2 linked regions of the Macaca fascicularis genome follow. The protein of the gene in region 2 purifies or fractionates together with the protein of the main gene of each other region. This does not show direct contact. Links are inferred from orthologs where the notes say so. Each region holds a gene or a part of one and is shown on either strand. Other genes may lie near its edges.

The links.
Region 1: the proteins of NCOA4 (region 2) and FTL purify together in Homo sapiens (co-immunoprecipitation; 3 studies listed by BioGRID and IntAct, counting the BioPlex papers as one, with this or other methods). This does not show direct contact. The link is inferred for Macaca fascicularis from reciprocal best matches to the Homo sapiens genes NCOA4 and FTL.

Annotation. Positions count from the first base shown.
Region 1 is NC_088393.1:56,942,022-56,953,829, reverse strand, and holds FTL (ferritin light chain), read right to left. Parts: upstream 4,644-11,808; 5' UTR 4,442-4,643; coding exon 4,340-4,441; intron 4,179-4,339; coding exon 4,032-4,178; intron 3,663-4,031; coding exon 3,537-3,662; intron 3,042-3,536; coding exon 2,889-3,041; 3' UTR 2,745-2,888; downstream 1-2,744. Other genes in the region: apoptosis regulator BAX, read right to left, coding at 5,302-5,721, 9,258-9,362.
Region 2 is NC_088383.1:59,176,452-59,187,988, forward strand, and holds the end of NCOA4 (nuclear receptor coactivator 4), read right to left. Parts: intron 10,958-11,537; 5' UTR 10,944-10,957; coding exon 10,803-10,943; intron 9,542-10,802; coding exon 9,401-9,541; intron 9,218-9,400; coding exon 9,129-9,217; intron 8,829-9,128; coding exon 8,720-8,828; intron 7,919-8,719; coding exon 7,829-7,918; intron 7,314-7,828; coding exon 7,170-7,313; intron 6,680-7,169; coding exon 5,693-6,679; intron 5,024-5,692; coding exon 4,883-5,023; intron 1,835-4,882; coding exon 1,829-1,834; 3' UTR 325-1,828; downstream 1-324. UniProt on the Homo sapiens protein: Cargo receptor for the autophagic turnover of the iron-binding ferritin complex, playing a central role in iron homeostasis. Acts as an adapter for delivery of ferritin to lysosomes and autophagic degradation of ferritin, a process named ferritinophagy.

The sequences.
Region 1 (11,808 bases), on a different chromosome or scaffold from region 2:
GCAGAACCACTTGGCCGCTCATTCCTTCTGGAGGACACACAGTCTCGGTCCAGATGCCTTCCTGCCTTTCTGGCCTTTTCTGGACCAGATCCTACTCCTCCTTTCTTTATCTGAGATCTCCCTCCAGGGAATCTGCCTGCAGAGGACAGAGCTGGCTGTCTACCCCCACCCCTAACCTGGCTTATTCCCAACCGCTCAGCCCACTGTGAAACCACTAGGTTCTAGATCCTGGCTTCTAGATCTGGAACCTTACCACGTTGCTGCATACTAGTCCCTTTCCCATGATCCGGAACTGAGGTCACTGGGTTCTAGAACCCCCACATTTACCTCGAGGCTCTTCCATCCCCAAACTGTGCCCTGCCTTCAGCTTTGGTGAAAAGGAGGGACCCTCATGTGTGCTGTGCTGTGTCTGCACCGCTTGGTTTGCAGTTGGGAGGGGAGGGCAGGAGGGGTGTGATTGGAGTGTGTCCGGAGATGAGATGAAAAAAATACACCTATATTTAAGAATCCCAGGTGTGGTCAGACATGAATACTTGGGCCTGGGTCTGACGTCCCCCCAACGCTACCCCTTCCCTGGTCTGAGCTCATCCTCCTATTCTAGAGATTTGGATTTTGCTGTTCTAAAATTCCAGTGTCATTCACGGAAGGTACCTCTGATTGCTTACTTGGGCCTTGATTTGCAAGTGGCAAAAATTTGGCTTAAGACATCTTTGGGGCCGGGCGCGGTGGCTCAAGCCTGTAATCCCAGCACTTTGGGAGGCCGAGGCGGGTGGATCACGAGGTCAGGAGATCGAGACCATCCTGGCTAACCCGGTGAAACCCCGTCTCTACTAAAAATACAAAAAACTAGCCGGGCGTGGTGGCGGGCGCCTGTAGTCCCAGCTACTCGGAGGCTGAGGCAGGAGAATGGCGTGAACCTGGGAGGCGGAGCTTGCAGTGAGCCTAGATGGCGCCACTGCACTCCAGCCTGGGTGACACAGCGCGAGACTCCGTCTCAAAAAAAAAAAAAAAAAAGACATCTTTGGCATAAAGGGGCTATGTGACTGGGAGGAAGATCTATAGGACAGCTGTGAACCTTGTGTAGCTTTTTTTTTTTTTTTTTTTTTTTGAGACAGAGTCTCGCTCTGTCACCAGCCTGGAATACAGTGGAGAGCAATCTCGGCTCACTGTAACCTCCGCCTCCTGGGTTTAAGCAGTTCTCCTGCCTTAGCCCCCTGAGTAGCTGGAACTACAGGAGCACGCCACTACACTGGGCTAATTTTTGTATTTTTAGTAGAGGCAGGATTTGACCATGTTGGCCAGGCTGTTCTCCAAACTCCTAAGCTCAGGTGATCTGCCTGCCTCGGCCTCCCAAAGTGCTGGGATTACAGGTGTGACCCACCGTGCCTGGCCACTTCTTTTTTTGATAACAGGATCTCCCTCTGAATCCCAGACTGGAGTGCAGTGGAGAAATCATGGCTCACTGCAGCCTCAACCTCCCAGGCTCAAGTGATCCTCTCACCTCAGCCTTCCAAGTAACGGGGACTATAGGCACGTGCCACCACACCTGGTTAAATTAATTTATTTTTTTTTAGAGAATGGGGGGTTCCCTATGTTGCCTAGGCTGGTCTCAAACTCCTGGGCTCAAGTGAGCCTCCTGCCTCAGCCTCCCAAAGTGCTGGGGTTACAGGCTTGAGCCACCCCGCCCCACCCCAGCCCCAGGGGAAGAAGGGGAGGAGTCAGAGCTGACAAAGCAGTTTTGCAGCTTGGACCCAGCAGATGCTTTTTAAGGCCTGTTTTCAGCTTTTTCAGTTCCCACTTGGAGAATCTGGCCCAAAGTTTCACATCCCATTTCTATGATGAACCCTAAACCCCTTGTCCAGCATTGCTTGGGCATCACGTGTGCCTGGCCGCTCAGCTCCGCCTGTCAGTTCCTCTCAGTGTGCGCCTCACATTGGGATTACTGAAGCTTGGGCCATAATCTGTAAACTCTGGAGCAAAGACCTCAGTGAGCCTCCTGGTTGCCATGCAAGTTGCACAGCAATAGCCTCAATGTGCCCATATAAAGGGCCTAATAATTTCAGCTGCCTCCCAGAATTGAGGTTTGTTTTTTTTTTTTTTTTTTTGAGACAGTCTCACTCCATTGCCCTGTCTGGAGCACATTGGCGCGATATCAGCTCACTGCAACCTCCGTGAGGCAGATATGGTTTTTGGGTTTTTTTTGAGACCAGAGTTTCGCTGTTGTTGCCCAGGCTGGAGCGCAATGACGTTGATCTCAGCTCACCGCAACCTCCGCCTCCCAGGTTCCAGCGATTCTCCTGCCTCAACCTCCTGACTAGCTGGGATTACAGGCATGCACCACCACACCCGGCTAATTTTGTATTTTTAGTAGAGGCGGGGTTTCTCCATGTTGGTCAGGCTGGTCTCGAACTCCTGACATCAGCTGATCGGCCCACCTGGCCTCATAATCACTCGTTAAATAGTGCTGTTTCTGGCTGAAACCGAACAGATCTGTGTCCAGGTACCAACCTAGGTCTTAATTCAACTCCCTGGAGGCTATCTCTGCCATCTGGGAGGGACAGTTAACAGCCAGGCAAGCAGAGAACCCTCAAGTTCAACACTACCCAGATAGCTTCTTGTCTTAGAAGAGATAAGAAAATGGGAGATGGGGCCAACTCCTCTTTCACTGGCATCCCCAACCCAGCCAGAAGCTTTATGAGAACAGATCCCACCTCATCTTCCATACCACACACAAAACCACCAACTGCATCAAAAAGCTTTATTTCCATTTGGTCCAAGGCTTGTTAGGGTCGTTAAGAAAGCTGCCTAGTGGCTGGAGGGAGAGGCTTAGGCAGAAGCCCTATTATTTTGCAAGGGGCCCTTCAGAAGTCGCTGGGCTCAGAAAGCTCTTAGTCGTGCTTGAGAGTGAGCCTTTCGAAGAGATACTCGCCCAGCCCAGCCTCCGGGCCGGCCAGCCTGTTGAGGTTGGTCAGGTGGTCACCCATCTTTTTGATGAGCTTCACTTCCTCATCTAGGAAGTGAGTCTCCAGGAAGTCACAGAGCTGAGAGAGAAGAGGGAGAAATTAGAAACCCGATCCCTGCCGGGCGCGGTGGCTCAAGCCTGTAATCCCAGCACTTTGGGAGGCCGAGACGGGCGGATCACGAGGTCAGGAGATCGAGACCATCCTGGCTAACACGGTGAAACCCAGTCTCTACTTAAAAAAAAAAAAAATACAAAAAACTAGCTGGGCGAGGTGGCGGGTGCCTGTAGTCCCAGCTACTTGGGAGGCTGAGGCAGGAGAATGGCGTGAACCTGGGAGGCGGAGCTTGCAGTGAGTCGAGATCCGGCCACTGCACTCCAGCCTGGGCGACAGAGTGAGACTCCGTCTCAAAAAAAAAAAAAAGGAAACCCGATCCCTGGAAAAGAGGGAGAAAGAGCTGCCAGTTGCAGATTAAAATATGACAGGTGTTAAATGAGGCTCTGAAGGGAATTTGCCCAAAGAGAGCAAAGGCTTGAGGGGTATGGTTGGGTAGCCATGGATGCAGGGGGTACGTACATGGGGATCCGTGTGGGCAGAACCCAGGGCATGAAGATCCAAAAGGGCCTGATTCAGTTTTTTCTCCAGGGCCATGGCGGCTTTCATGGCATCCGGGGTTTTACCCCACTCATCTTCAGCTGGCTTCTATACAGAAGGGAGAAACGGCTTCAGAATACACACACTCGGCACATGGAACTAAACCTACATTTCCCAAGAGTTGGTGGGGGTCAGAGGCCCAGGCCACAAAGACATGTGACAGCTTGTATTTATCACTCTCCGCACCCCGTCCTAGCTCTTACAGCTACACGTCCTTACGTCTACGCAGCAGTGTGGACTGCCGCGTCCTGGGGGCACTGCACGACGTGCGCCTCTATTTCCAGCCGTAAAAGGGCTCACAAGACCGAACTCAATCTCCCCGAAGCCCACGCGACATCTAAGCCCTCAAATCAAGGCTCCTCGCGCGCACGGCCTGCTGGGAGATGTAGTCCGTTACCCTACCCACACACTAGTTACCTTGACGTCCTGAAAAAGAGCGCGGCCGCCACGCTGGTTTTGCATCTTCAGGAGACGCTCGTAGCCCTCGCGCTTCTCCTCGGCCAATTCGCGGAAGAAGTGGCTCACGCCTTCCAGAGCCACATCATCGCGGTCGAAATAGAAGCCCTAAGGAAAGAGATGGAGGGAACAACGCTTAGCGGGAGGCGAGGCCAAGGGGGACTCTGCCCTCTGTTTACTCGACCGGACAAAGAAGGCCGGCGCCTGCGCTGAGGGCCGAACGTGCGCAGCTGGGGGAAATTAGGGCCAGGGGCGTCCTGGGGACTCACCAGAGAGAGGTAGGTGTAGGAGGCCTGCAGGTACATATTGACCAGGCTGTTGACGGCTGCCTCCACGTCGGTGGAATAATTCTGACGAATCTGGGAGCTCATGGTTGGTCGGCAAGACGGAGCTAACCACAAAAACGGTGCTGGCAGGTCCCAGAAGCAGGAGATGGCCGAGAAGATGGTCCCGGAGGTTGCAAGTGGAGAGGAAATCGGAGGGCGGTCGGAGGCTGGAAGAAAGAGTCCCCGGATCTGTTCCGTCCAAACACTGTTGAAGCAAGAGACAGACCCGCGGGACCGCCGAACTGCCAGGGGACGTGGCTAGGGCGGCTTCTTTTATAGTGCGCTGGCCCTCGGAGGCGGGGCGCTCGGAGCGGGCTATCGGCCAATCTGCGGTGGCAGGAGGCGGGGCCGAAGTCCGTGCCTGACCAATCCGGAGCACACAGGAGTCTCAGCCCCCGCCCCAAAGCAGGGGGAAGTCACGCGCCTGCAGCGCGAGTGTGTTGTGAAATGGGGGCTTGCGGGGGTTGGGGCCCTGGGGCCGATTCGAGGAATGGAGGGTTTCGTGGGCGGGGGGGTGGGGGGTGGGGGCTGGGGTTCCTCTGGGAGACTATAGTTTTATGGGAGCATTAAGAGTCCTGTGAACTGATGACCCTGGGGTCCTGGGGGTGCCTCGGGAAAGTAAGTCAGATTCTGGGGTTTTGGAGGGCATGGATTTTTCTGGAATCTTGAGTGGGGGGAGGGGCAACTCAGAGGTGCAGGGAGGACCTGTAGTTGCCTGAGGTTTGTGCTGCGAGATAAGGAGTCTCCGGATCCTTGGGAAGCTTGGAAGGCAGTGAGGTGGTATTTCTGGACCCCTGGGGATCTCTGGGAGACAGAGGGGTGCGAGGACTGGAGTCCTGGGCTTTACAGAGGTGGGAGTTCACGATGCAAACTCTATATTTTGGAGCCCTCCCCCGGGGAGATCTTTAGGTCCTTGAGGTGCTCTGCAAGTTGGAAAGGGCAGTTGTTCTGGAGCCGTGGGGTTCCCCAGTGCGGGAAGCCCAGGAGGAGCATTGTATGAGGTAGGATGACTTCTGGAACCCTGGACAGCCCTCGGAAACCCTCCAAAGACTGGCTGGGACTTTGGGGATACCTTGGAGCTCTTTCAAGGGCCCAGTCGTTTTCTGGGAGTGGAAATGGGGAGGAATGAAATGTCTGTTTCGAGCTTTGCGGTGTCTCTGGGACTGCGTGTCCTGGGGGCTGTTTTGGAGGCAACTCACAGACTCCGAGAATTCTCCTTGGCCCTGAAAACAGTGTCTCCGCAGTTGCCGTCGTGTCTTGCCTGACGTGTGCTCTTTCAGGCCCACAAAGAGAAGCCCTGCGTTGTGGACACACAGTCTGGGGACCTATGGACGAGACGTCTGTCTACAACTAATGCGTATTTTTTTTTTTTTTTTTTGTGACAGAGTCTGGCTCTGTTGCCCAGGCTGGAGTCCAGTGGCCGGATCTCAGCTCACTGCAAGCCCCGCCTCCCAGGTTCACGCCATTCTCCTGCCTCAGCCTCCCGAGTAGCTGGGAGTACAGGCGCCCGCCACCTCGCCCGGCTAATTTTTTTTTGTATTTTAGTAGAGACGGGGTTTCACCGTGTTTGCCAGGATGGTCTCGATCTCCTGACCTCGTGATCCGCCCGTCTCGGCCTCCCAAAGTGCTGGGATTACAGGCTTGAGCCACCGCGCCCGGCCTCTCTAATGCGTATTTTTTAAGCGGACCTGGTCCATGTTGATTTCTGGGAGACGGAGTCGGCGCAAACCTTGACCCTGCTTAAGTGCCCCGATGGAGGTAGCCCGTGCGCTGGGCAGGGAGCTGAAGCCACTGGGGCGTGGGGTGTGAGGTCAGGCCCTGCCCTACAGAGGAGCCGCTCCGAGCAGCCCAGGCAGGGCAGCCCCTGACCGAGGGGATCTGCAGATGCCTCGCCAGGCCGGTATCTGGGGTCCTTGTTGCAGGCAGCGACTGCTGAGTCATGCTGAGCTCAGCGCGGGAAGGGGCCCCCCGCGGGGACGGATGTGGGTGGGGCCACTCACTGACCTCATCCCCTTGGCACTCCCCGACTTTTTTGGTGGGACCCTCAGAAGTAGACCTGGCTCAGACCCAAATCGGGCCCCTTCCCCCCAGGTCCCCCCTTGTTGGAAGCCGGCTGTGTGCTTTGTCTCCGTGTCGTTTTGGTTCCCATGTTTTTTTCTTTTTTTCCTGGGATCCTGCCTGTGGCCATATTGTCCCCTCACTCTGGGTGGTGGCTCAGTGTACACTCATTGATCCTATTTCCTCTCTCCCCTGACTTGGGGTCTTTGGGAAGAGTCCATGGAGGAGGGACAGCCGCCCAAAGCACCCGGTTGACTGTGGGACCTGAGTTACTCATTTACCAAATGTCATACCTCAGCCCAGAGACCTTTAGTCCCGAGAGGGGCCTTGGGGCCCATAGGTGGAGGTAGAGGAGGGGCTGAGAGAGACAGGATCTGAAGACCATAGAGAACGTGGAGTGGGGACACAGAGGCCCAGAGAAAAAGCGACTCAGACAAAACCCTGAGAGAGAGGGGGACAGAGAGAGAGGGGGACAGAGATCCAGAGAGGGGGACAGAGACGCAGAGAGAGGGGGGGACAGAGACCCAGAAAGAGGGAGACAGAGACCCTGAGAGAGAGGGGGACAGAAACCCAGAGAGAGGAGGACAGGGGTGGGAGGGGAACAGAGGCAGGGAGGTACAGAGACCCGGGGGTTGGGGGGACAGAGGCCCAGAGGGACCCCGGGGGGAGTAGAAATCCAGAGCAGGGGTACAGATCCAGAGAGAAGGGGGGGCAGACAGAGATCCAGAGAGAGGTGGGGCCAGAGACCCAGAGAGAGGGGAAACAGGGACTCAGAGAGAAGGGGACAGGGACTAGGTGGAAAAACAGAGACCCAGAGAGAGGGTGGGACAGGGATGAGGGGGGACAGAGACAGGGCGGGGGAGAAGAGACCCAAGAGAGGGGGACAGAGACCCAGAGAGGGAGGGGGACAGAGACTCAGGGTGGGGGGACAGAGACACAGAGAGAGATGGGGGGCCAGAGATTCAGAGGGGGGCTAGAGACCCAGAGAGAGGAGGCCAGAGGTCTGGGGATGGGGGGTGGAAAGAGCCCAGAGAAAGAGGGCCAAAGGTGGGGTGGGAACAGAGACTTGGAAAGCAAAGACCCAGAGAGAGAAGTGGGGACAGAGACCCAGAGATGGGAGGGGGTAAAGACCCAGAGGGGAATGACAGAGCCAGAGAGAGGGGGCGCCGGAGACTCTGACTGAGAACCCACATCCTCTAACCCCCTTGTCTTCGCTCGGCCCTTGTCTGAGGTCACTGGGCCTCTGAGTTCGGCACCTTCTTCCGGGAGTTCCTCTCCAGGGGGGCCCCACCCAGCCGTGGGGCCAGACCAGGTTCCTCCGCCTCTGCCCTGCCCTCCAGCCTCTCTGTCCTCAGCCCAGCTCAGGAGGCCTCTCCCATGGGCTCTCTTGCCCTGGTGTCCTCAGCCTGCCACCTTCCAGTCACCCCAGGCTCCAGAGCCCTTCCTGCTTCCCTGGTCCTACCATCCCTCCTCCTCCCACCCCCATTCTCCAGCTCCATAAAGGTATGGCCTCCTGAGGTCCCATGTGTGACACTCCAGGCTCTGGTCCCAGGCTCTGGAGGCTTGCTGTGCAGCCAGCTGTGCTGTTCTTCCCCCTACCCACACGCCTGCTCAGGCCTCACAGGCCACTGCCTCTGTCCTGCACAGATCGTCCTGGGCTGCGACAGATGTGCCACCAGTCACCTTCGTTTCCCTTCACGACTGTGGGCTCCTGCAGGGTAGGCCCGGGACCAACTCATCCCTAACCCGCAGACCCCAATGGGCACCCCAGAAAAAGATGTCAAGGGAGTGCAGAGAGCCCCACGTCCCTGAGTGGCCCGAGCAGGTATCTCTCGGTGAGCAGACGGCAGGCCTGGCATGGGGCGGCGGGCAGGGCCTGCTCTCCTGATGTGCCAGGGAGCGGGGCAGAGGCCCAGTGACTCAGATGCCGAAGTATGTCCCGAAGGAGGTTTATTACCCCCTCAAGACCACTCTTCCCCACCCCCCCAATAATTACAAAAGTAAGAAAAATGCCCATGTCCCCCAATCCCCACCCCTCCCAGAAAAATGCCATAATTTATGGAGGAGAAACACAGTTCAAGGCAGCTGGGGGCCTCAGCCCATCTTCTTCCAGATGGTGAGGGAGGCGGTGAGTACTCCAGCCACCAAGATGGTCACGGTCTGCCACGTGGGCGTCCCAAAGTAGGAGAGGAGGCCGTCCTGGAGACAGGGACATCAGTCGCTTCAGCGACTCGGCCAGGGGCAGCCCCTGGGCAGGCACAGGCAGGATCAGGGAGGCAGGAGGAGGTCAGAAGGCAGGATTGTGGGCAGGGGACTAACATGAATGGGCATTGAAGAGCTGGGCTCAGGCCAGGCATGGTGGCTCACACCTGTAATCCCAGCACTTTGAGAGGCTGAGGCAGGAGGATCGCTTGAGGCCAGGAGTTCGAGACCAACCTGGGCAACATAGCGACACCCCCTTCTCAGTGGGGAAAAAAAAAAGACAAGAGTTGGGGTCAGAGGATCATCAATGAACTTGAGCAATTCCGGAGGCAGTGGAGGCTCCAGGGAGGGCAGAAGGCACTAATCAAGTCAAGGTCACAGTGAGGTCAGAGGTCACCGGGAGGTCAGTGGGATAGATGAATCAGGGATTGATCAGACACATAAGGAAATGCATTATAGACCACATCTGACGATCCGAAGATGGGGAGAGGGCACCACTGTGACCGGCTCCAGAAGGCCCAGGGTCCCAGAGGAGTGGCGGGTGGGCAGGGACAGTGGGGCAGGGGCGGTGGTTGGGGTGAGGAGGGTTGAGGAGTCTCACCCAACCACCCTGGTCTTGGATCCAGCCCAACAGCCGCTCCCGGAGGAAGTCCAGCGTCCAGCCCATGATGGTTCTGATCAGTTCGGGCACCTTGGTACACAGGGCCTGTGGGGAGTGGAGTGAATGTTAGGGACCGAACCTTGTCCCCAATGCCTGGGGATAGTGGCCCCCAGCCTCCTTTCTCAATTCTTTGCCTCCCCTCAAAGATTTCTGCCACCCACAATTGAAGTCGGCTTCAAATATTGTAAACATGGCCAGGAGCACCAGCTCATGCCTGTAATCCCAGCACTTTGGGAGGCCAAGGCAGGTGGATCATTTGAGGTTGGGAGTTCAAGAACAGCCTGACCAACACGGAGTAACCCCATCTCTACTAAAAACACAAAATTAGCCGGGCATGATGGTGCATGCCTGTAATCCCAGCTACTTGGGAGGCTGAGGCAGGAGAATCGCTTGAACCCGGGAGGCGGAGGTTGCGGTGAGCCGAGGTCGCGCCATTGCACTCCAGCCTGGGCAACAAGAGCAAAACTCCATCTCAAAATAAACAAATAAATACAAAAATTAGTTGGGTGTGGTGGCAGGCACCTGTAATCCCAGCTCCTTGGGATGCTGAGGCAGGTGAATCGCTTGAACCCAGGGGGCAAAGGTTGCAGTGAGCCCAGATCACACCACTTCACTGCAGCCTGGGCAATAGAGCAAGAGTCTTGTCTTAAAAAATAAATTAATTAATTAAATAAAATTGTAAACAAGATCATGTTACTCTCAACTGCCCCATCCCTGAGCCTTCTGTGGCTCCCCAGTACCCTCAGGATGAAGACCTGAAAGCACAACGCAGCCCACAAGCCCTGTGTGCAGGCTCTAGCCTGACCTCACTCCACCTTTCCACTTCCTGTTTTGTGCCTCACTGAGCTGCTTCCATTTTTTTTTTTTTTTTTTTTTTTTTTTGAGACGGAGTCTCGGTCTGTCGCCCAAGCTGGAGTGCAGTGGCCGGATCTCAGCTCACTGCAAGCTCCGCCTCCCGGGTTCACGTCATTCTCCTGCCTCAGCCTCCCGAGTAGCTGGGACTACAGGCGCCCACCGCCTCGCCCGGCTAGTTTTTTGTATTTTTTAGTAGAGACGGGGTTTCACTGGGTTAGCCAGGATGATCTCGATCTCCTGACCTCGTGATCCGCCAGTCTCGGCCTCCCAAAGTGCTGGGATTACAGGCTTGAGCCACCGCGCCCGGCCCATTTTTTTTTTTTTTTTTAAGATGGAGTCTTGCTCTGTCACCCAGGATGCAGTGCAGTGGCACAATCTTGGCTCACTGAAAGCTCTGCCTTCCGGGTTCAAGCAATTCTCCTGCCTCAGCCTCCAAAGAGCTGGGATTACAGGTGCGTGCCAACATGCCTGGCTAATCTTTTTTTTTTTTTTGAGATGGAGTTTTGATCTTGTTGCCCAGGCTGGAGTGCGATAGCGCAGTCTCGGCTCATTGCAACCTCCACCTCCCGGATTTAAGTTATTCTCCTGTCTGAGCTTCCCAAGCAGCTGGTATTACAGACATCTGCCACCACACTGGGCTAATTGTTTTTTGTATTTTTAGTACAGACAGGTTTCACCATGTTGGTCAGGATGGTCTCAAACTCTTGACCTTAGATGATCCGTGTGCTTCAGCCTCCCGAAGTGCTGATGTGAACCATCGCGCCCGGCCCCATTTTTTTTTTTTTTAATTTAAAAAATTCCCATCAAATTCTTCCTGCCTCGGGACCTCTTCTTGTGCTCCTGTTTCCACCTAAACAGGCCTCGACCAAGCAAATTCTCACCCTTCAGCGCTCAGCGCAAATGTCACTTCCCCAGAGAGGAATTTTCTTTTTTTTCTTTTTTTTTTTTGAGACGGAGTCTCGCTCTGTCGCCCAGGCTGGAGTGCAGTGGCCGGATCTCAGCTCACTGCAAGCCCCGCCTCCCGGGTTCACACCATTCTCCTGCCTCAGCCTCCCGAGTAGCTGGGACTACAGGCGCCCGTCACCACGCCCACCTAATTTTTTGTATTTTTAGTAGAGATGGGGTTTCACCGTGTTAGCCAGGATGGTCTCGATCTCCTGACCTCGTGATCCGCCTGCCTTGGCCTCCCAAAGTGCTGGGATTACAGGCGTGAGCCACTGCACCCGGCCAGAGAAGACTGGCCCCTGCCCATGGATCCCTGACCTTCTCTCCCGACTCCCAAGACTTCTCCTTCAGCCTTTATCTGGCCACCTCTATTCTGTCATCCCCGCTCTGTAGGTGGCCCCACCATCACCTGCACTACTATTCCCCTCACCGCCAACGTTCAAGCCCCATCAGCTCAATCTTGAAAACACATCAAGAAATAATTCCTCTTGGCCGAGCGCGGTGGCTCACGCCTGTAATCCCAGCACGTTGGGAGGCTGAGGCAGGCAGATCACCTGAGGTCAGGAGTTCGAGAACAGCCTGCCAACATGGTGAAACCCCATCTCCACTAAAAATGCGAAAATTAGCCAGGTGTGGTAGCGGATGCCTATAATCCCAAGCAACTCTGGAGGCTGGGGCAGGAGAATCGCTT
Region 2 (11,537 bases):
ATTACTGTATTAAATACCGGGTGGCTATATGATTGGAGAAAGTAAACTAGGGCCTTTTTGGATGCATCTAGTAAGAGGAATCCAGTAGAAAGGCACTGAGTCTTAGCTGAAGTCCCGTAGGTTTTTTTTTAATAGATACGAATAGTTTTCATAAAAGACTGAAAATGGAGGTTAATATACCTATTGTTTTCTAATTTTTCATAAAATACACTGGTTATTTTTATGCTCAAGCTGTTTCTCAGCTGGATTCCTAACCAAAAGTTGCCACATTACATAACACCACACTTTGTGACAAATAGTTTTACAAATAACACGCAACAACTATGGCTGTTATGCTTTTAATGGAGGCAGATACAAAATTCATCAATGCAAAAGAATGTTTCACATACTCATTAACATAGTGATTAATATAAATTATATTTTGACTTGTAAAATACAGTGTGTTTGGCCTCAAAAAAGAAACTACAGAGCTGCAACTCAAGATAACTGGAAAGGCTCCTTACATTGTTTTTGCCCACCACCTTTGTTATAATACTCCTAAAACGATATCTGGAGAGGGAATTAAAAAATAATACAAAGCTCTTTTCAGCTGTGGTTCAAAGAACTCTAGTGAAGCTGTATGGCAATGACATTGTGGGACCATGAAGTTTCCCCAGAAGTATTTCCAATAAGAGGCAGTTAAGAAGCTTAATAGTTTCAAAGTATGGAAAGCAGCAAAGGTATCTTAGAGAAAACATAAACCCACTTTCCTACAGACATTTTAAAGCATGGACGTAACTTTAAGGAGACTGAGAAAACATCAGTAGTTTTCACAAAGCTTCAATGATCACCCCAAGGCACAAGTGTTGAAAACGGCCTGTTCACTAAAACATCACTTTTGGAGGTACAGGTATGCTGTGCTTGCAGTGAAAGGATGACTTTATCACTAGTTAAAAGCACCAGGTGTCAAGCTCAGCTTCCATTTACACAGGATGCACCAATAATCCCTATGATAGTGAATGGTTCAAGTACTATACTACATTTCCAACATGTCTTTTGCCTATTTGCTTAGTCGGTACTTGGGTTCTTTTAAGCCCCATAGGTCTGTAGAATATTTTAAAAGGCTAGAACTACCTCAAAAATAGTCTTGAAATATTACTGAGTCCTTCTAAAAGAGCTCACTGGATATTTTAATAACATTTACAGAAAGACAAAATTTGCAGTAGCTGAGTTTCTTTTAAGAATAATGTAGAACTAACGTGGGCTAAAATGTCAAAAATTGCCAAGATTATTAATACATATTTTGGTAATCACTACTGACCAGGTTAATTTTTTGTGCAAAATACACTATATATTAATAGAACAGGAAAATCATTATTTCAGACCACTAACAGGAGAAAACCCACAGCAAAAGAAGCATCTGTAGGGCAATTAAACATTAGGGAAGTTTACTAGCTTTAGAATACATCAATACACTTCGATTACGGAAATAATTCATTTTTAAACAAGAGTGTTTTAATGTACTTTTAGTAATGACCCAATCTAAGGAGCCTTGGAGGTTTGTGAAAAAGACTATCCACAAAGATGCTGCTTTTCTAGTGTGGGGTGAATTAATACTTCTGTAAGAAGGAGGGAACTGAATCACCTCAGCATGAATAAACAGCATTTTTCTTTTAAACAGTAACTCATAATCTGATGACTCACTTTGCTTTACTAGTTCAAAATTAGGCAGGAGAAGAACTAAGCTAACTGGTCAGACCCAGAAACACAAAGATTTGGCAAGCCGCAGTCATTCAGCTCATGATGTGTGATAATCGGCAGAAAGGCTGCTCAACTCTTGTCCATTCCTTCACATCTGTAAAGAAACGCCCACAGATAAGTTACTTCACTGAAGAATAAAAGCAAATTTTCCCTGCCTTAAAGCTCTGACTCATTTCCCAATATAGGTATACCTTGTTATATTGTATTTTTTACAAATTGAGCGTTTGTGTCATTAACTGTGCCCATTAAAGATGGTAAACTTTTCATCGATAAATGTATGTCCTGAATGCCCACCAAACAGCCTTTCCGCATTTCTCTGCCCTCTCCTCAGGCCTCCCTGGTTCCCTGAGACAAACAAGATTGAAATTAGGCCAATTATTAACCCTACAATTGCATCTAAGTGTTCAACAAAAGGAAGAGTCCCCATCTCTCATTCTATTTAAATCAAAAGCCAGAGCGAGAAAGTCATGTTGAAGGCCAAGAGAGGCTGAAAGCTGGGCAGGCCTTTTGGACCAGCCAAGCTGTGAACACAAAATCAAAGTGTTTTTTTGTTGTTTTTTAGCTTCTCATTCTCTGGCTGAAAAGTTCTTGAAAAAAACGAAGTGCTACTCCAGTGAACAGATGAATGATTTAAAAAGAACAGCCTTATTTCTGATATGGAGAAAGTTTTAGTGGTCTCGATAGATCAAACTAGCCACAACATTCCCTTAGGCCAAAGCCTAACCCGAGTAAGGCCCTAATTCTCTTCAATTTTATGAAGGCTGAGAGAGGTGAGGAACCAGAAGTCATGTTTGAAGCTAGCAGTGGTTGGTTCATGAGGTTTAAGGAAAGAAGCCATCTCCATAGCAAAAATGCAGCGTGAAGTGGCATGTTAACCAGAATAGCCAAGATCATAAATGAAAGTAGCTACAATATTTTCAGTGTAGACAAAAACAACTTCCTATTGCAAGAAGTAGTCATCTAGAACTCGTAGCTAGAGAGATAAGTCAATGCCTGGCTTCAAAGGACAGACTGACTCTCTTGTTAGGGACTAACACAGTCAGTGACTTTTTTTTTTTTCTTTGGAGACAGGGTGTCACTCTGTCAACCAGGCAAGACTGCAGCAGAGCTATCATAACACATTGCAGTCTTGACCTCCCAGATGCAAGATTCTCTCACCTCAGCCTCCTGAGTAGCTGGGACAATAGGCACGCTCCACCATACCCAGGTAATTTGTTAATTTTTGTACAGAGGGTCTCTGTATGTTGCCCAGGCTGGTCTTGAACTCCTGGGATCAAGCAGTCTTCCTACCTCCGCCTCCCAAAGTGCTGGAATTGCAGGCCTGAGCCACTGCACTGGCGGCTAAGTTGAAGCCAGTGCTCAATTACTATTCCAAAAATCCTAGGGCCCTTAAGAATTACGCTAAATCTGGCCAGGCGCGGTGGCTCACGCCTGTAATCCCAGCACTTTGGGAGGCCGAGGCAGGTGGATCACGAGGTCAGGAGATTGAGACCATCCTGGCTAACATGCTGAAACCCCATCTCTACTAAAAAACAAAAAAATTAGTAGTCCCAGCTACTTGGGAGGCTGAGGCAGGAGAATGGTGTGAACCCAAGAGGCAGAGCTTGCAGTGAGCCAAGATGGAGCCACTGCACTCCAGCCTGGGTGACAGAGACTCTGTCTCAAAAATAATAATAATAATAATTATGCTAAATCTACTCTGCCTGTGCTCCAGAAATGGAACAAAGCTTGGATGACAGTACACCTGTTCACAGCATGGTTTACTGAATCTTTTAAGCCCTCTGTTGAGAACTACTGTTCAGAAAAAACATTCCTTTCAAAATACTACGCCCATTGACAGTGCACCTGGTCACCCAAAAGCTCTGATGGAGATGCAGAAGGAGATTAATGTTTTCATGTTTGCTAATAAAACACCCATTCTGCAGCCTATGGATCAAAGAGTAATTTCAACTTTCAAGAATTATTTAAGAAATACATTTTTTAAGGCCCTAGCTGTGTAGGTTCCTCTGATAGATCTGGGCAAAGTAAACTGAAAACCTGGAAAGGATTCACCATTCTGGATGCCACTAAGACCATTCATGATTCATGAGAGGAAGTCAAAACATCAACATTAACAGGAGTTTGGAAGAAACAGATTCCCACCCTCATGGATGGCTTGGAGGAATTCAAGACTTCAGTGGAGGAAGTAACTGCAGGTGTGGTGGAAACAACAAGAGAAGTAGAATTAGAAGTGGAGCCTGAATGTGTGACTGAAATGCTGCCATCTCATGATCAAACTTAAACGGATGAGCTGCTTATGGATGAGCAAAGAAAGTAATTTCTTGAGATAGAATCTACTCCTGGAGAAGATGCTGTGTATTGTTGAAGTGACAACAAAGGATTTAGAATATTACATAAACTTAGTTGATAAAGAGCAACATGATTTGACTCCAATTTTGAAAGTTCTACTGTGGACAAAATGCTATCACACAGCATCACATGTTACAGAGAAGTATTTCATAAAAGGAAAAGTCAACTGATGCAGGAAACTTCATTATCTTATTTAAAGAAATTGACACAGCCATCCCAACCTTCAAACAGCTACCATCCTAATCAGTCAGCAGCAATCAACATCAAGGCAAGACTCTCCAACAGCAAAAAGATTGTGTAAATGGCTCAGATGACCTTCAGCACTTTGTAGTAATAAAATACTTTTTAATTGAGGTATATACATTGTTTTCTTCTTAAGACATGATGTTATTACAGACGTAACAAACGTATATACAACTTTTATATGCAATGGGAAACGGAAGTATTTGTGTAGCTCACTTTATTGGGATATTTGCTTTATTGCAGTGGCCTGGAACCAAACCCACCTTCAAGGTAGGTCTATAAGCTATTAGAATCCACATGGGATTTGAAAATTCCCAACGGTTACATCTTGAAAGTTCCCTTTGAAGTATGCCTAGTTAGTTCATAAAGCAAATTCAATTAAAACACATGAACTTTTTATGAGCTCCCCCGTCCCACCCTCACTTGCCTAATATACATACTATTAAAAGGGATATGGTTCAATGAGCCAAGTATGACTTCATATGTAAGACAAAACATTTATTTTATAACTAGCTATAAGCTAATTTTCACACTGGTAGCATGTACCCACCTGTAGAGGAGTTCGATATAACCACTTCTCTTTATCAACTTTAAGTTGCATACAGGCAAAGAGATCACAAACTGCAGGGAGGCCATAATGGTCTGGGGGGAAGTTATGTTCTTCCTGTAGAGGTGAATTAAGTAATACTTCCTGCAATAAAAGAAAAGAGTAGGTTGCTTCATGAAAACTAGGAGGCATGAGACCAACTTATCTTTCAAATAGGGTCTACAGAGAATAATTTAAATGTTGGCCATTCTCTCTAACAACCAAAAACAAAGGTGACAATTGTTATTTCTACCCCAAATATTTTCCATAAATAGCAATAAAACAGGCTAGATTATTTTCTTTCCTGAAGGATGGGGCCTAGGCCTGGAAAACACAAAAAATTCATAAATCCTCCATTCCAAATTTAGTATTTAACATATTTAAGGATCTGGCCAGTTTGGAAGGTTTGGGATTATGAAATATAAAACTCCAGGCCAGGTGTGGTGGATGACGCCTGTAATCCCAGCAGTTTAAGAGGCCGAGACGGGCAGATCGCTTGAGCTCAGGAGTTCAGGAGACCAACCCCGGGCCAAAACCCCATCTCTACCAAAAATACAAAAAATTAGCCAGGCATGGTGGTGCATGCCTACAGTCCCAGCTACACAGGAGGCTGTAGTGCAGGCAGGGGGATGGCTGGAGCCTGAGAAGGGGAGGTTGCAATGAGCTGAGACTGCACCACTGCACTCCAGCCTGGGTGACAGAGACTCCACCATCTCAAAATAAATGAATAAATAAATAAAACTCAAACAGTGCTATTTTGATGTTTATGCTCACCTGGGCCTTCTTTCGAAGCAGCCACTTGTCTTCTTCAGAGGATAACTGGCTGAGGTTGCCCATCTTCTTTCCTGGCAGGACCCAGTCAGCTGTGTTAAAGGAACACCAGGAAGTGTTCATGGGGCTTTTAAACTTTTGTTTGCCATCTCTGTCTTCAGTACTAGGCACTTCCTTGGGACTTCTTTCTTTGTATGGGGTCCTGATAAGCCACTCCGACAAGGGGCTGTTCTTTATGACTTGGAAGGAATCAGCAATTCTAGAAGGAATCATTGCCTTTGGTGCTTTAGTTTGTTCTATTACTTCTTTTCTAGAAGGACAGAGCCACATATTCAGGGAATCTTTATGCTTCTCAGGCTCAGGTTTGGGTTCCACAGGCATCCCATTTTTATCCTTTCCTTCTTTCTTCAGAAGCCATTTATACAGAGCCTCCTTCTCACAATTCTCATCACACACACACTCTGCAAAGCTTGTGCAGGGCTCATTGGCTCTGCACACTTCTTCTACCTTACACGGGTCCTGATGGTTCTGGACAAGCCAATCCTCTGTAACCACGCTGGGGGTGGACAACTGTTTCTTGGTCTCCAAGTGGTCATTCAGGCACTTCAGATTGCCCAGGTTTTCAATCTCCACACCTTTGGGCTGGTTTCCCTGACAGTTGGTACAGGAGTCAGTCTTGACAAGCCAATCATTCACATTATAGGACTGGAACAAGAGCTTAAACTTCTCACTGGTTTCACGACTGTCATTCTCAGGCTTCCGTAGCTTATGGGATTCCTGGGGAGTCACTAGCCAATCTGATAGGTCCATCTCATCTTGATCAGGAAGCTCTTGATCTCCAACCTTTTCCATTTCAGTGGAGAAAGAACTAGTAGTGGAATGGCTGTTACACTTTTGATAACTTGGTTTTTCACTCTTGAGGAGCCAGTTTTCTAAGCCCTTTAGGTTTCCCCAGACATTACTGAAGAAATTGCAGGCTCTGGGAGAAGTCTACACAAAAAGTACACAGTATTAGTTTGCCAGAACAATTATGACTGCTTGGGAGATTCTGTCTGCACTTTTTTTTTTTTTTTTTGAAACGAACTCTTGCTCTGTCACCCAGGCTGGAGTGCAGTGGCGCAATCTCAGCTCACTGCAAGTTCTGCCTCCCAGGTTCACGCCATTCTCCTGAAGTAGCTGGGACTACAGGTGCCCAACACCACGCCCGGCTAGTTCATCAAATTCTTGAGCCCCTACTGCATGCCAGATGCTAAACTGGTTTTTGTTTTGTTTTGTTTTGTTATTTTTTTGAGACAGAATTTCACTCTGTCACCCAGGCTGGAGTGCAGTGGGGGCAATTTTGGCTCACTGCAGCCTCCACCTCCCAGGTTCAAGCAATTCTGCAACCAAAAACTTAACAATGACACATACTACTACTAATTAGTAACTAACCCCACCTACTGCTGCGTCTACTGTAGAAACAATAAAAGCAGCAACAGACCTGACTGTTCTCCAAGGTCTGCTTTTGGGTGAGCCAGTCGTGGGGGTCGGTGCTATGTATGTAAGGAGCCTGATGACCACTGGCAGGTTTGCTTCCAAGGAGCCATTCACTGAGAGGGACAGCTACAATACCGGATGCTGACTTCTGTTAATCATATAACAAGGAATGTCAAATGCAGTAGAAAGTTCACCAGAAAAGGAGAAGAGCCACTCTCTAATCTTGGCTTGCCACTGACCCTGGGCAAGTCTTGTGCCTTCCCAGAGCCTCAATTTTCACAATTATAAAACAAGAGACATAGCTGATCTCTAGGGCTCTTCTCAACTAAAACATCTAGAATCTTTATTCACATTGCCATTCCTTTAGAAATAAATCATCTCTACAAATTATAAACAGGATCCCTCACAGAGAACCAGTATCAGTAAGACAGCTAATGATAATTTCCTGTGAACTATTGATAATTACTTTGTCTGTTAACCCCAGCAAGATATCTAAATTTCTATTTGGCATTAGATCGCAAGGGAAGCATTCAATTTCATAAACTAACTCATTGCCACTGGTGCCTTTTTACAAATAGTAGTATTTTTTTAAAGCTATATAAAACGCAAAGGAAATATAAGCCAAGCAATGACTTAATTACCAAAAACAAAATGGTATTTTACCTGCTCTGGCATTGGGATATAGCCTCTCTTCTCCAGGAAGGGCCCAATATTTGATGAACTAGCATGAGCCATCAAGTGCTCAGGAATTTGCTATGAAATGAGATAATTTAATCATGTTATTTATGCTATGCTGCCAAAAAAGTGAAATTATAATTCCAAATTTCAAAAATGTTAAAGCATTAATATTTCATTAGAAATATTGTTGACACTAAATTCCATGACTTACAAAGTAGTTATCAAATTTGAGAATACTCTACCACATAACTATTATATAAAAAATCTTCACCAGAATTGGTTGTATTACCACTTTTAACAAGACCCAAATGTTTGGTTCTTTATTAAAAACTATTCAAGCCATAAATTTTACAAAAAATATATCAGAAGTATTTGGAGAGATACATGAGGCATTCCAAAAGAGTATCACTGAGTCTGTACTACACTCCAAGAACTACCAACCTAGGCAACTTAAGCAGAACATGACTTTTTTTTTTTTAGGCGGAGTCTCACTCTGTCGCCCAGGTTAGAATGCAGTGGCGTGATCTCAGCTCACTGCAACCTCCGCCTCCCGGGTTCAAGCGAATCTCCTGCCTCAGCCTTCCAAATAGCTGGGATTACAGGCACCCAGTTAATTTTTTAGTATTTTTAATAGAGACAGGTTTTCACCATGTTGGCCAGGCTGGTCTCGAACTTCTGACCTCAAGTGATCCGCCCTCCTCGGCCTCCTAAAGTGCTAGGATTACAGGCATGAGCCACCACGCCCAGCTGAGAACATGAAATTTTTGAAACTAATCAAATTCTCAAGAAAGTCACTACTCATAGTAATTTTTTTTAAGACCAGCTGTGATGCCACAGATATGAGAAGTGCCCAATGAAGCATATGCGATTACTCACAATGGTTTTGAGAGACCCAAATGTGGTGATGGTCTGGCGCAGAGCAGCTGTGTCAGCTTCAAAGAGCAGGACGGTTGAATCTTCAGGCTTAAGGGTCAAACTGCCCAGTCTGGGGAAGAAAAACAAAATTGGCTATTTTTAAGGAATATCTATTTCATCAACTTCACCCAAAACAAAAGTCAAATTGTGAGTAATTTTAAATGATTATACTTCTCTAAGATACTCAACCAAAGGTAGACGGCTTATTCATGTATCAGCAAGTATAATATTAAATACATAAAGCAGAATGATCTTATCCTAGCAACATACAAGTTAAATACAACACATGCAATGAGTTACAAAATTGACTTTCTTTTAGTATACCAAAGTTAAAGAGTCAAAAGTTAAAATAAGCAAAAAGGGTTGTTACCTCTCCAGGCACACAGAGACTTGATTGGCTAGATCTTTGTTTTGGGTACACTCCAGTTGATGAGTAAGACAATTGAATTGGCCCAATAACTAAAAGAAAAATGAAACCATCTAGCCACAATGATACCAAGAGCACCAGATATACTCAAGTTACCAAACAGAACTTGAGATTAAACTTTTATCTGATCTATATTAACACTGCATTACAAGGAAGATACTCTCTGGCAACCAGAAGCCATGCTCAAACCAGTTCTAGCCATGCAGTCACCTTACCCAGTAGAGCTGCTGAGCCTGCTGTTGAAGTGTCTCCTCTTTAAGCTGATAAATAAGGTCCACCTGTTCATACAGCCACACCTCACGGCTTCTAAGACATTCCAGGTGACGGCTTATGCAACTGTGAATCTGAGCTTTGACCTAGGAAACACATACATGTTAGCTTCCTAGTGTTATAATCCCAAAGAATGATGTTTCCTGCAGAATAGTGAGGTTCTTAAACTTTTTTGGGGCGGGGGAGGGCTTGGGGGGAATCACAAATCCTTTTTAATATCCAACGACATCTATGAAGTATCTCCCCAGAAAAAATGCGTATTTTCAAGATTTTGCCTATAATGTCACGGTTTAGTGTTCCAAAGTCCACCCAAGGACCCACTAAAGCCCTATGGACCCCAATTTAAGAATCCCAGCCATAAAGGCATACCTAAACTCTAAAATCCTCCTGCAATACCCATCCTTCTAAGAGGATTAGGTTTAATTTGGGTGTCCTAATCAAAAGAAAATACAAGAATGTACCAGGAAATACTGATCCCCCTCAGTTTTCCACATAATTTAAAAACCTATGGTTTTACAAGTTTATCAGCAGAATAAAGACAGAGTATTAACTTAATAGCTAGCCCCTTATCTCTTTTCTCACCCCACAGAATGAGCAGTCCATTTACAGCAGAACAATTTAGTAAAGAGATGTGCCACCACATGTCAACAGCTAGAAGACCATTAGGGTAGACAATTTAAGTAAAATTATAAACTAATGTTTCTGGAAGCATAAACAGTGATTCAAACAGGGCTAAATATAAAAATCCCAAGGGAAAAAGTCAAAACAGGCCATAAATTATCCATGACAATACACATAAGAAACTATATTTTAAAACACATTTTTTTTTCCTGTTTAATAAAGTTGTGTTTCAAAGTCATGTAATACTTGATCTAACACACACAACAACAAAATACTACTGGAACCAACAACAGATTTCACTCTGGCTTGCCCTAACAGATAGTCATTTACAGAACAATGCCATTAACCAGTTAAAAGATGACGGGGAGGATGCTCAAGTGCATCCTTCATGCAATCAAGAGGACGCAGCTGAGAGGATACTGCTCACTCATTTCATATTTTACTGGTTACAGTGCCTGAGGAATCACACAGAGGAGTAATCAAAAATGCATGCTGAATAGAATTTTCTAGAATGGCACAGGGTCTTCCAGACTCTTCTAGCACCTGCCTTATTTCCCCTTGGGATGAAAGGCACCAGTGTATCAGGCAACTGACTGGGACCAAGTAGACCACGCAAGGCATGGGGTGAAATTTTTTGTTGGCACAGAGAAACCAAGTCCTTGGCCATGCTCTAACCAGCCCTGTGCCAAGAGTCCAGACAAGAGAAGAGAAAAGCACATGTCACACCTCTCGCAAGTTATCTTTAATTTGCTGTTCAGCCCGGAGAACTCCACCAATAGCAAGCTCCAAGTCCCTCCGTGCATCACTACACCTCAACAGGGGTTCTCTATTACTGGAGCTGCCACTCTGGTCTTGGAAGGTATTCATTCTCCTCACTGCTCCTTTAAAAGAAAAAAATATATATAAATAGCACCATAATTACAACCAAAAACCACCTTTCAATCATCCCTCAAATGATCATTCCAGCCAACTCCCATTACTAACTACTTAGATTACTTTCCAACACTGGAGCTAGCACATAAGATACTCTTAATAAATATTGTCTCCTCCCTTCCCTCTACCACTGTTCCTGCCATAAAACTCTAAAATCTACTTTAGTAACACTTTACATGTGAATAGCTATTTCTGGAAAAATACACTAATTGTCCTGAATCAACAGAGCATACAGTGTCCTGAAAAGTTAAAAGAACATTAAAATATAATTTTCTATTTATAACACACATATAGTCATATGAGGTATGTGTTCCTCTTTGTAGATTTAGAGATGAAGACTAAAAGGTACAGCTTATTACTTTGAAAATAAGCTGCAAACAATCAAGTTTAGAATACTGTTTAGAAGACGGAATTTTTAATTTCCCCCTTTACGGTAGAACTTTTTTTTTTATTTAGGAAGAACTTAAGAATTACTTCATAGCTAGGAAGCTCTCAAAAATATAACACAGGGCCGGGCACGGTGGCTCA